Macaca fascicularis: one gene and its partner. The protein of the gene in region 1 purifies or fractionates together with the protein of each later gene. This does not show direct contact. Links are inferred from orthologs where the notes say so. Each region holds a gene or a part of one and is shown on either strand. Other genes may lie near its edges.

The links.
Region 2: the proteins of ARPC5 (region 1) and ACTR3B purify together in Homo sapiens (affinity purification with mass spectrometry; 5 studies listed by BioGRID and IntAct, counting the BioPlex papers as one, with this or other methods). This does not show direct contact. The link is inferred for Macaca fascicularis from reciprocal best matches to the Homo sapiens genes ARPC5 and ACTR3B.

What each region holds. Positions count from the first base shown.
Region 1 is NC_088375.1:41,179,669-41,183,978, reverse strand, and holds the start of ARPC5 (actin-related protein 2/3 complex subunit 5), read left to right. Parts: upstream 1-1,256; 5' UTR 1,257-1,365; coding exon 1,366-1,509; exon of another isoform or gene 1,510-2,452; intron 2,453-3,988; coding exon 3,989-4,060; intron 4,061-4,310. UniProt on the Homo sapiens protein: Component of the Arp2/3 complex, a multiprotein complex that mediates actin polymerization upon stimulation by nucleation-promoting factor (NPF).
Region 2 is NC_088377.1:194,089,116-194,092,928, forward strand, and holds part of ACTR3B (actin-related protein 3B), read left to right. Parts: intron 1-2,728; coding exon 2,729-2,902; intron 2,903-3,813. UniProt on the Homo sapiens protein: Plays a role in the organization of the actin cytoskeleton.

The DNA of each region.
Region 1 (4,310 bases):
ATAAGCCCAGTGCTCTTTTCAACACAGCACTGGAAACCAAAGATTGTGGCACACAACAGGACAACAGCCAGTCTTCTGTTCGAGGTCCAACTAAACTAGACCCATACCTGAGCAATGTCCAGCCAAATGTCCAAATTAATTTTATCCTGCAAATATTTGTTCTTCAGTGTAATACACACAGCACAACTACCATTTCCTTCGTCTTAGTGCCTTTATCTCCTACATTCCGGAAATGGGGATGTCAAATATTTTTTTTAAAATCTGGCCTAGATGGAATCATATAAATCTTAAATCATAATATAAATCTTAAAGGTCTGGTTTCCACCAATCCTTACCCATTTTGTTTTCCCCCAGCACTAGAGAGCCTAACCTACCCTCACCCCTTTTCAGCATTCTTGCTCCAAACAACCACCTATTTTAAGATGTCAATGACCCTTTCCCAAATTCTACAAATTCACCCCAGTTTTGCCAACCGACCCCAGCGCCTGCCCGGACACATTCCCCTCCCTCCCAGTAGATTTGATACCGAGTTCAGGTTCTGCAGATCCCGTCGTGATGCTGTCACACAGCACTGACAGATAAGATTTGACCTTTCGACTCCGTCCTTGGGGACCTCCCGCTGGCCAAGTAGGGTAGTTCCAACCCCAGGAAACGGGCTTCCCGCTCAGGAACGCAGCCCCTAGCAGCGCACAGTCCGAGGTAACGTCTCCGGCAATTAGAACGATGCTGGGCGCCCGGGTGTGCATCACTCCGCCTCATACTCCTGCCAACTGCAGGGCACTCGGTCCGGCAGCCAAGTCCATCCCACCCACATCCAAGTCCCAGCCAGTCGGACCTTACGCAGGACCCGGATGACAGGTCGTTGACGGCTGCAGCAGAAGTCAATGCCACCTGCCGCTGCTGCCCATCACCGACAACCTCAGACCCCCTAGACTGGACCGCAGAAAAGCGTTTCTATGGGAACCCCCTGGGAATCACGTGACGCACTCGGACGACCAATCGTTTCTTACCTCCGCCCGCGATCCAGGTTTCGGCCCTCCCTCTCGCCCCCTCCTCCTTCGCCCAGCCCCGCCCCTTGCCTACGGAGAGCCCGCGCCTGCGCGCTGTGTCCTGCGCGCTCCCTCCCCCGCGCGCGCTCTCCGTGAAAGAGTGGGGGCGGCGTGGGAGGCGCCAGGAGAGCGTGAACCTGAGGAGGAAGCAGCAGGGTTGGCGCGCAGGCCCAGAACCGTCCCAGCCACGGCAGCCGGCGACGCCCCAGAGCGGAAGAGGGAAGTGAATCAGGCGCCGGGCAGTGGGCTGCTGGGCTCGGCTTGCTGAGGTAGAGGCAGCTCCAAGAAGAGGCCTTTGCCGCTGGTAGGGATTGGGATGTCGAAGAACACAGTGTCGTCAGCCCGGTTCCGGAAGGTGGACGTGGATGAATATGACGAGAACAAGTTCGTGGACGAAGAAGATGGGGGCGACGGCCAGGCCGGGCCCGATGAGGGCGAGGTGGACTCCTGCCTACGGCAATATCCTTGCATTCGCCGCCCTCCCCACCCTAGCCCAGCCCAGCCCGCCCTTGTCCAGAGACCCGGGAGCCTGAAGGTTCCGCGGGGCCCCGGCGCGGAGCTGCCCTGTCTACCTGCGGCTAAACCTGTCTCTTTGGGGTCTCCCGCTCTGAGAGGGCAGGAGGAAGCCCCCGTTTCCTACTCAGGAGCCAGGAGACGCGAGGGTCCCACTCTTGGAAGCCTGCCCTCCCCCGCGCGCCTTCCACGCCCCCAGATTCCTCAGGTTGCACCCGAGTGCCTGCCTGCCTCGGGAACCGGTCCCGCCGGCCGCGCCTTCGCGGCGTTGGGGAAGGCGGCCCGGGCTGGTGGGGAAGGCTGGTGCCGAGCGCCTAAGTTTTTCTTCCTACAACTCTATTTCCCGGAGTCACATTAGCTCCAGAAATTTCTGATTGTGGGGAACCTGCGTCTTTCCTTAGTGATTTTGTTTTTTGTTGTGTTTTTGTTATTGCTAGCATTAAGATAGTTTATTCCTTACCGGGGGCAGAAGGTAGATGGTACGGTTTGAAAATTGAGGTCCCCTATGCTTTCAGCCCATTGGCCTTTAAAAAAAGAAAAAAAAGGGAGGGGGGGATTTGACAAAATATACATTGCACAGAATTTGTTAACCGGGGGAGGGGAATGAATACAATTTTTTGTATTCCTAAAATTGATTCCATTTTAGTTAAAATATGGCTGTCAGTTCCCGGTTTCTGTTTTTGCATATTTGAATATTCATAACTTTGACTCCGTATTTGCATTACATCTTTTTTAGAAAAATGTAAATGTTGCAAAAAACCGAAGCTATAGTTTTAGAAAATCTCAAACACTGGCTTTTTATGCATTTCTAATTATTGGGTGTATTCATAAGGAAGACTCAATGTCCTGTTATATGAGGAAAATGTGAGTGAAAATATTTAATGGCAACAGTATCCTTTTTTAAAGGCACCTAAATACAGCATTAGACATTTATCAATATATAGCTAGTCCTTTGATTGCCACAACTTTCACAATTAATTAGCTGTTGCTCTTTTGCATTATTTAAATAAGTGCTTGGGGTCATACAAAATGAGCTAATCACATGAGGCATGCTTCTCTAGAAATCCTTGCAGCCTTGAAAATAACAGCTTGTCAACCAGAGATTTTGTGTGTGTGAGAACTTTTTCTTCGGAAGATAAATGGTGAACATGCTTCCTAAAAACATTTGTGATGGATAGATGGTGTTTTATGAAACCCCAATGTATTTTAGGTAATTTATGGTGACTGCTGTGTCCATATCAGTGGATCCGCTTTTTGATCAGTACATCTTAAAATAAAAAGATACTGTCTTGTCTTACCCTTACATACAGCCAGGAAAGACAGCCCTAGTGGTGGGGTACTAGAGATGGAGGAACAAGTGAACTCTGTGGTTTTCCTTTTAGGGGAATGTCTGGTACATTCTGACAGTCTGATTGGCCTTCTGTTTCTCATGCTTGCTAACTCACTAGTGCTTTCAAAGAGAGTCTGAATTTAATAGGTATGGTCTAACACAGTTTGAATAACCGTTGTGAAATATGAGAGAAAATATCTAAAGCAAAAAATTAAGCTGCCACCTAAGGGACATATGAATTATTACATCTTCTGTGATGCCTCTTTTCATCAATATTGAGAGACTGCTAATGTGTATCATTGAGATTGCTAATCTGCCAGCATGTTCTACCAGCATTTCAGTTAATATAGAATATAGTAAAAGTTTGGTCTTTATTTTTTCAATTAGAATCACAGGAAAAGACATATTTTGGTTGATAATAGGTTATTTCATTTGGGGGACTAATAATTCTGATACATATTTTAGGATTTCTTTTTTTTTTTTTTTTTTTTTTGAGACGGGAGTCTCGCTCTGTCACCCAGGCTGGAGTGCAGTGGCCGGATCTCAGCTTACTGCAAGCTCCGCCTCCCGGGTTTAGCCATTCTCCTGCCTCAGCCTCCCGAGTAGCTGGGATTACAGGCGCCCGCCACTTCGCCCGGCTAGTTTTTTGTATTTTTTAGTAGAGACGGGGTTTCACCGTGTTCGCCAGGATGGTCTCGATCTCCTGACCTCGTGATCCGCCGGTCTCGGCCTCCCAAAGTGCTGGGATTACAGGCTTGAGCCACCGCGCCCGGCCTAGGATTTCTTTAACACCACTCTAGGTAATGTTTGCATATGTATCTCACTGGGCAATGAAAGACTATCAAGGTGTTCATTTGATAGTTAGAACCAAGGGTGAAACAGTCTTTGCTTTATTAAAAAGAAAGTCTAATGTTCTGTTTTGCTTTTGATATCTTGCCCTTGATTAACATCCTGGAAACCAACACATTGAATTTCCAGTATTGAACATGGTGACCAGTAATTTTCTTTTTATATATAAAGCAAGTCTTCAGAACCAGTGGTTATAATACTTTCCTGGGGGCCATGCTTTGCTGCTACACCCTTAACTTCCATCACAGGAAACATGACAGCTGCCCTACAGGCAGCTCTGAAGAACCCCCCTATCAACACCAAGAGTCAGGCAGTGAAGGTGAGTCGCAGACTACAACACAGTGATCTCTGCTGATACCTTATTCTTAGTAAAATCCTCTGCAGTTGCAAAAAAAAAACCAATATTTTAACCGTTTGCTAACTTTGACATAGAAGAGTTTATAATGTAGTTTGATAGGTAAAAATTTCACGTGAAAAAATAGCCCTGTAATGTAGTTATGATAATGCTGCATGGTAAGACGCAGTGAATTCAAATAGTGAAATCATTTGTGTGTGTTTTTAGAGGAGAC
Region 2 (3,813 bases), on another chromosome or scaffold:
AGCTTAACCTCTTCCAAACTAGATGCTCTGAGGTTCCAGCTGTCAGTGAGAACAGCTTGGTAGCTGGTGCAGTGTACCAGCATGCAGAGGCGCATTGTTCAGCTGGAACCTCACTGCCAGAGCCTCAACTACCAGAGCGCTCCTTCCATACTGCCTCCATGCTTCGCTGTAGAATCAGGAGGCGACTGCAGCAGCAGAACACTGCCACCCTAGAATCCAGAGCTATTGCACAAAATTCACACACAGGTGTGGGTGTGACGTGTGGCCATAAGCATCTCCTTCCTTTACTGCACAGTTTCTGAGTGTAGTGGAGCTTGAGGAGGGTGAGCCTGACACCCACCCTTCTCCTCACTGCCTTCCTCCCTTCTCAGCACCTCGTAACTGAGGCTGCTTGAAGGAAAGGAAGCATCAGAGATGATTCCCGAGGTGTTTTTAGGACAGGAAGCACTGGCCTGGGGCAGGCTCTGCAGTTGGGTATGACCTGCCGTACTTTACCTGGAACCAGAGATTCCTGGGAAGGAGGCTCTCAGTGCTGAAATGGTGACATGGGGAAGACGTGGTCCCTTCCATCTCAGGGGGAGGTTTCCTGAGGTATCATTAGACATTCTTTTTTAGACTAAAATTTTTCCTAAGGGGTTACCGTCTCCTTTCTTTGCCTTTCCTCAATGGAAGAATATTTGACTATTTGATCCAAGCTCCCTTGCCACTCCAAATCTGTTAGAAATGTAAGTCAGAATGGAGCCCCTTCATAGTGGCTCACACGTATAATCCTAGGACTTTGGGAGGCCGAGGCGGGAGCATTGCTTGAGGCCAGGGGTTCGAGACCAGCTCAGGCAATATAGTGAGATCTCGCCTCTATTTCAAAAAAAAAAAAAAAAAAAAAAAAAAAAGAGCCTCTTGTTACTGATACCCAGGGTCCACTCTAGTGGGTCTGAGTCCTTCCTATTTCCACCAGGATTGCTGAGCGGCACTGCTAAGGAGGGGCTTTCCTGACCCTCATGCTGGGCCTTACACTCTCCTCAGGGCTGTTGGAGTTCCAATTTGGACCCTGAAATCTGGGCTGGTGTGCTCGATGTGACTGTGTGTCACCCTCCTGTGAAGGCTGGGAGTAAAAGAGACTCTGTTCATAGCCTCCAAATCAGCTGCCCTGGCCCTGCTGTGTGGGGTAGCCCTTTTAGTTCTTGCCTCACTTCTCTCTTTAAAGGAACAGATCCTGAAAGGCGTGGTTTAGAGCTCCCCCTGCTTCCCTTTACTGCCATGGCCTTCTGTGGTCGTGAGCAGGCCTGAGGGAGTGTGTACCGTGAACACACCACCTTTGCATCATGAATCCTGAACCTTAAGATTAAGCCTGTTACTCTGCACCCAACTCCATGGAAGCATTTCATAGGAAGCGTTTGAGTTAAGTGAGCTGAGATGCTGTGGGATGTTGACCAGGCCTGTGAGGAGAACTGAATGCCTTTGTCTCCAGTCTTGGTTGATTTGAGGTTGTAATCAGCTGACCCTGTTTCTCTGTGTCATCAAGGAACACAGGGTTGTGTAACACTTCTTGCCTGTCAGTCTTCCTAAAATTCTGCTAGAGTATATCCAAGATACCCAGAAGATGGCATTAGAATATGTTTCAGGGATGCTAAGAAACTTTAAACTTAATACCACAAGAACGTCTTTGGAGGTCCTTGAGAGAACCATTCCTTCCACGGTGTGCTGAGTGCCAGCTGGGCAGCCCACCTGGTGTTTCCCGTAGGCAGCGAGTACCTGGGGGTCACCTGCTGCTTGGCTGAGGCCAGCTCTAAGGACACGTATCAACACAAAGGTGTCCAAGAATATTAATCTCACCAGATACTCAGGAAACACTTCGCATCCCTCAGGCTGCCTGTCGGTGCAGGGCGGGGATTGTTAGCGGGTTCTCTCACAGCAGCAGCATCCTGGCAGCTCCAGTCCTCCCCCCTGACTCTCCTTTTCCTTTATTCCCTGGGACCTATCACTTTATAACCTACCATGTCATTTACTTGTTATGGTTGCTTATTGTTGTCTGACTCCCAGCTGGAGTGTAATCTCAGCAGGGATCTGTGTGTGTTTCGCTCACTTGTGTCTCCCAAGTGCCTAGACAGTAAATCTGTGTTAACTGAGGGACTTAGAAGACCCAGTCAACAAGGTACACTATGTCTAGGCAAAGAGATGGTGTCAGTGGAGCCGGCGACAGTGCCGTGGCCAGCTCCACACCAGATTAACAACCAGCAGGTTGACAGTGGCCACCCAGCTTGTGGATGCTGGGACTGAAAGAAGCCTCTGCAGTCAGGTGTTAGGGTGTAGACAGTGCTGCTCTCGGTAGGTGAGGCTGCAGCATGGGTCTGCTGGTCCGGTGTGGACAACAGAGGGGTGCCAGGGCAGGCCATAGGGGGCACCTGAGAGGAAGAAGGCAAGACGTGATTTCTAGACACCTACAGACATCATTTCAGATATGATAGCGATAGAATTGGATAGACCAAGGCTGAGATTAATAGCTGAGTTGCAGAGAAAGCAGACTTACCTGTCCAGAGTCCAAGTGTAACCATGCCTAATATGAAAGATGATGGAATGTGAGACCTGACACGTATCCACACTGGAGTGACGGTGGGGGTGGTTCTGATCCCAGGGCGTGTTTACTGCATGGGGTTCCTGGTTATTTGTCTGAGGGCAGAGACACTGGGCGGTTGTTAATGCCTGGCAACATCTTTGTGTGTGTATGCAGGAGAAATACTGTTACATTTGCCCTGATATAGTCAAGGAATTTGCCAAGTATGATGTGGATCCCCGGAAGTGGATCAAACAGTACACGGGTATCAACGCAATCAACCAGAAGAAGTTTGTTATAGACGTTGGTTATGAAAGGTTCCTGGGACCTGAAATATTCTTTCACCCGGAGGTAAGATGTTTCCTTTTGTGTGTGCTCAAGTGTGTGGGATGGAGCTGTACTGCCACCCAGAGTGCGGAAAGAGCATTTCCCAGCAAAGGGCCTGTGAGCAGGGCGGCCGTCGTTCTGTCTCCCCGCATCCCCCGTGCCGTTTGTCTGCTTGACAGATTGTTCAGTTTGCCTCTCCTCTTGGCTGTCTGTGTTAATAATTAAAGATGGGTTATACCACAAATAGGAAGACTTATAGGAGCAATAGACGATAATAGAACTAAAAGTAATCTTCAAGGGTTGTGGGTGGTCACATGCTAGTATTACGAGTAGCTATAATCTCAAGGACTATGTGGAGGTTGCCTGTGCCTCAGAGTGGGATAACATATAACCTTTCCATCTTTGGTGATTGCCCTTCCTAACTTCTAATTTTAACCCCGGACAGTTGATCCTGCTCTGTTCCCTGCTGCAAGTTAGGTTAATCTTCTGTCTAAGGCCAGCGTTTCTGTTATTTAGGTAATCTTAAGAATTAGAAATGTCATCATTTTAACTAGTAGTTGTAAGGAATTATTAGTACTTTTGCAGAAAGCAGTAATTAAGAGGCACATTTTAAGATTTACATATAATGCATTTTATTTATATTTTGATATATATTCCTGGCTACTTCAGTTTGTATTCAATAGGTGGGTTACAAGCTGCTGTTTGGTTTTAGATATGTATATGGCTGTTTTGTGCAGAGAAACAGCATGGAAAGTATACCTCACTAGTAATCCGAAGAATAAAACGATGGCAATGATAATCCAGCGAATGCCCGCTTTTAATCTGTGGATTTGAAGTGGACATAGAACGGTTAAATGTCCAGTGAACAGCTTGTGAGCCCCTGAGTGGCCTCCTCCTTCCTCTGAGAGTGCACATTCTTTGATTTTTAACATATT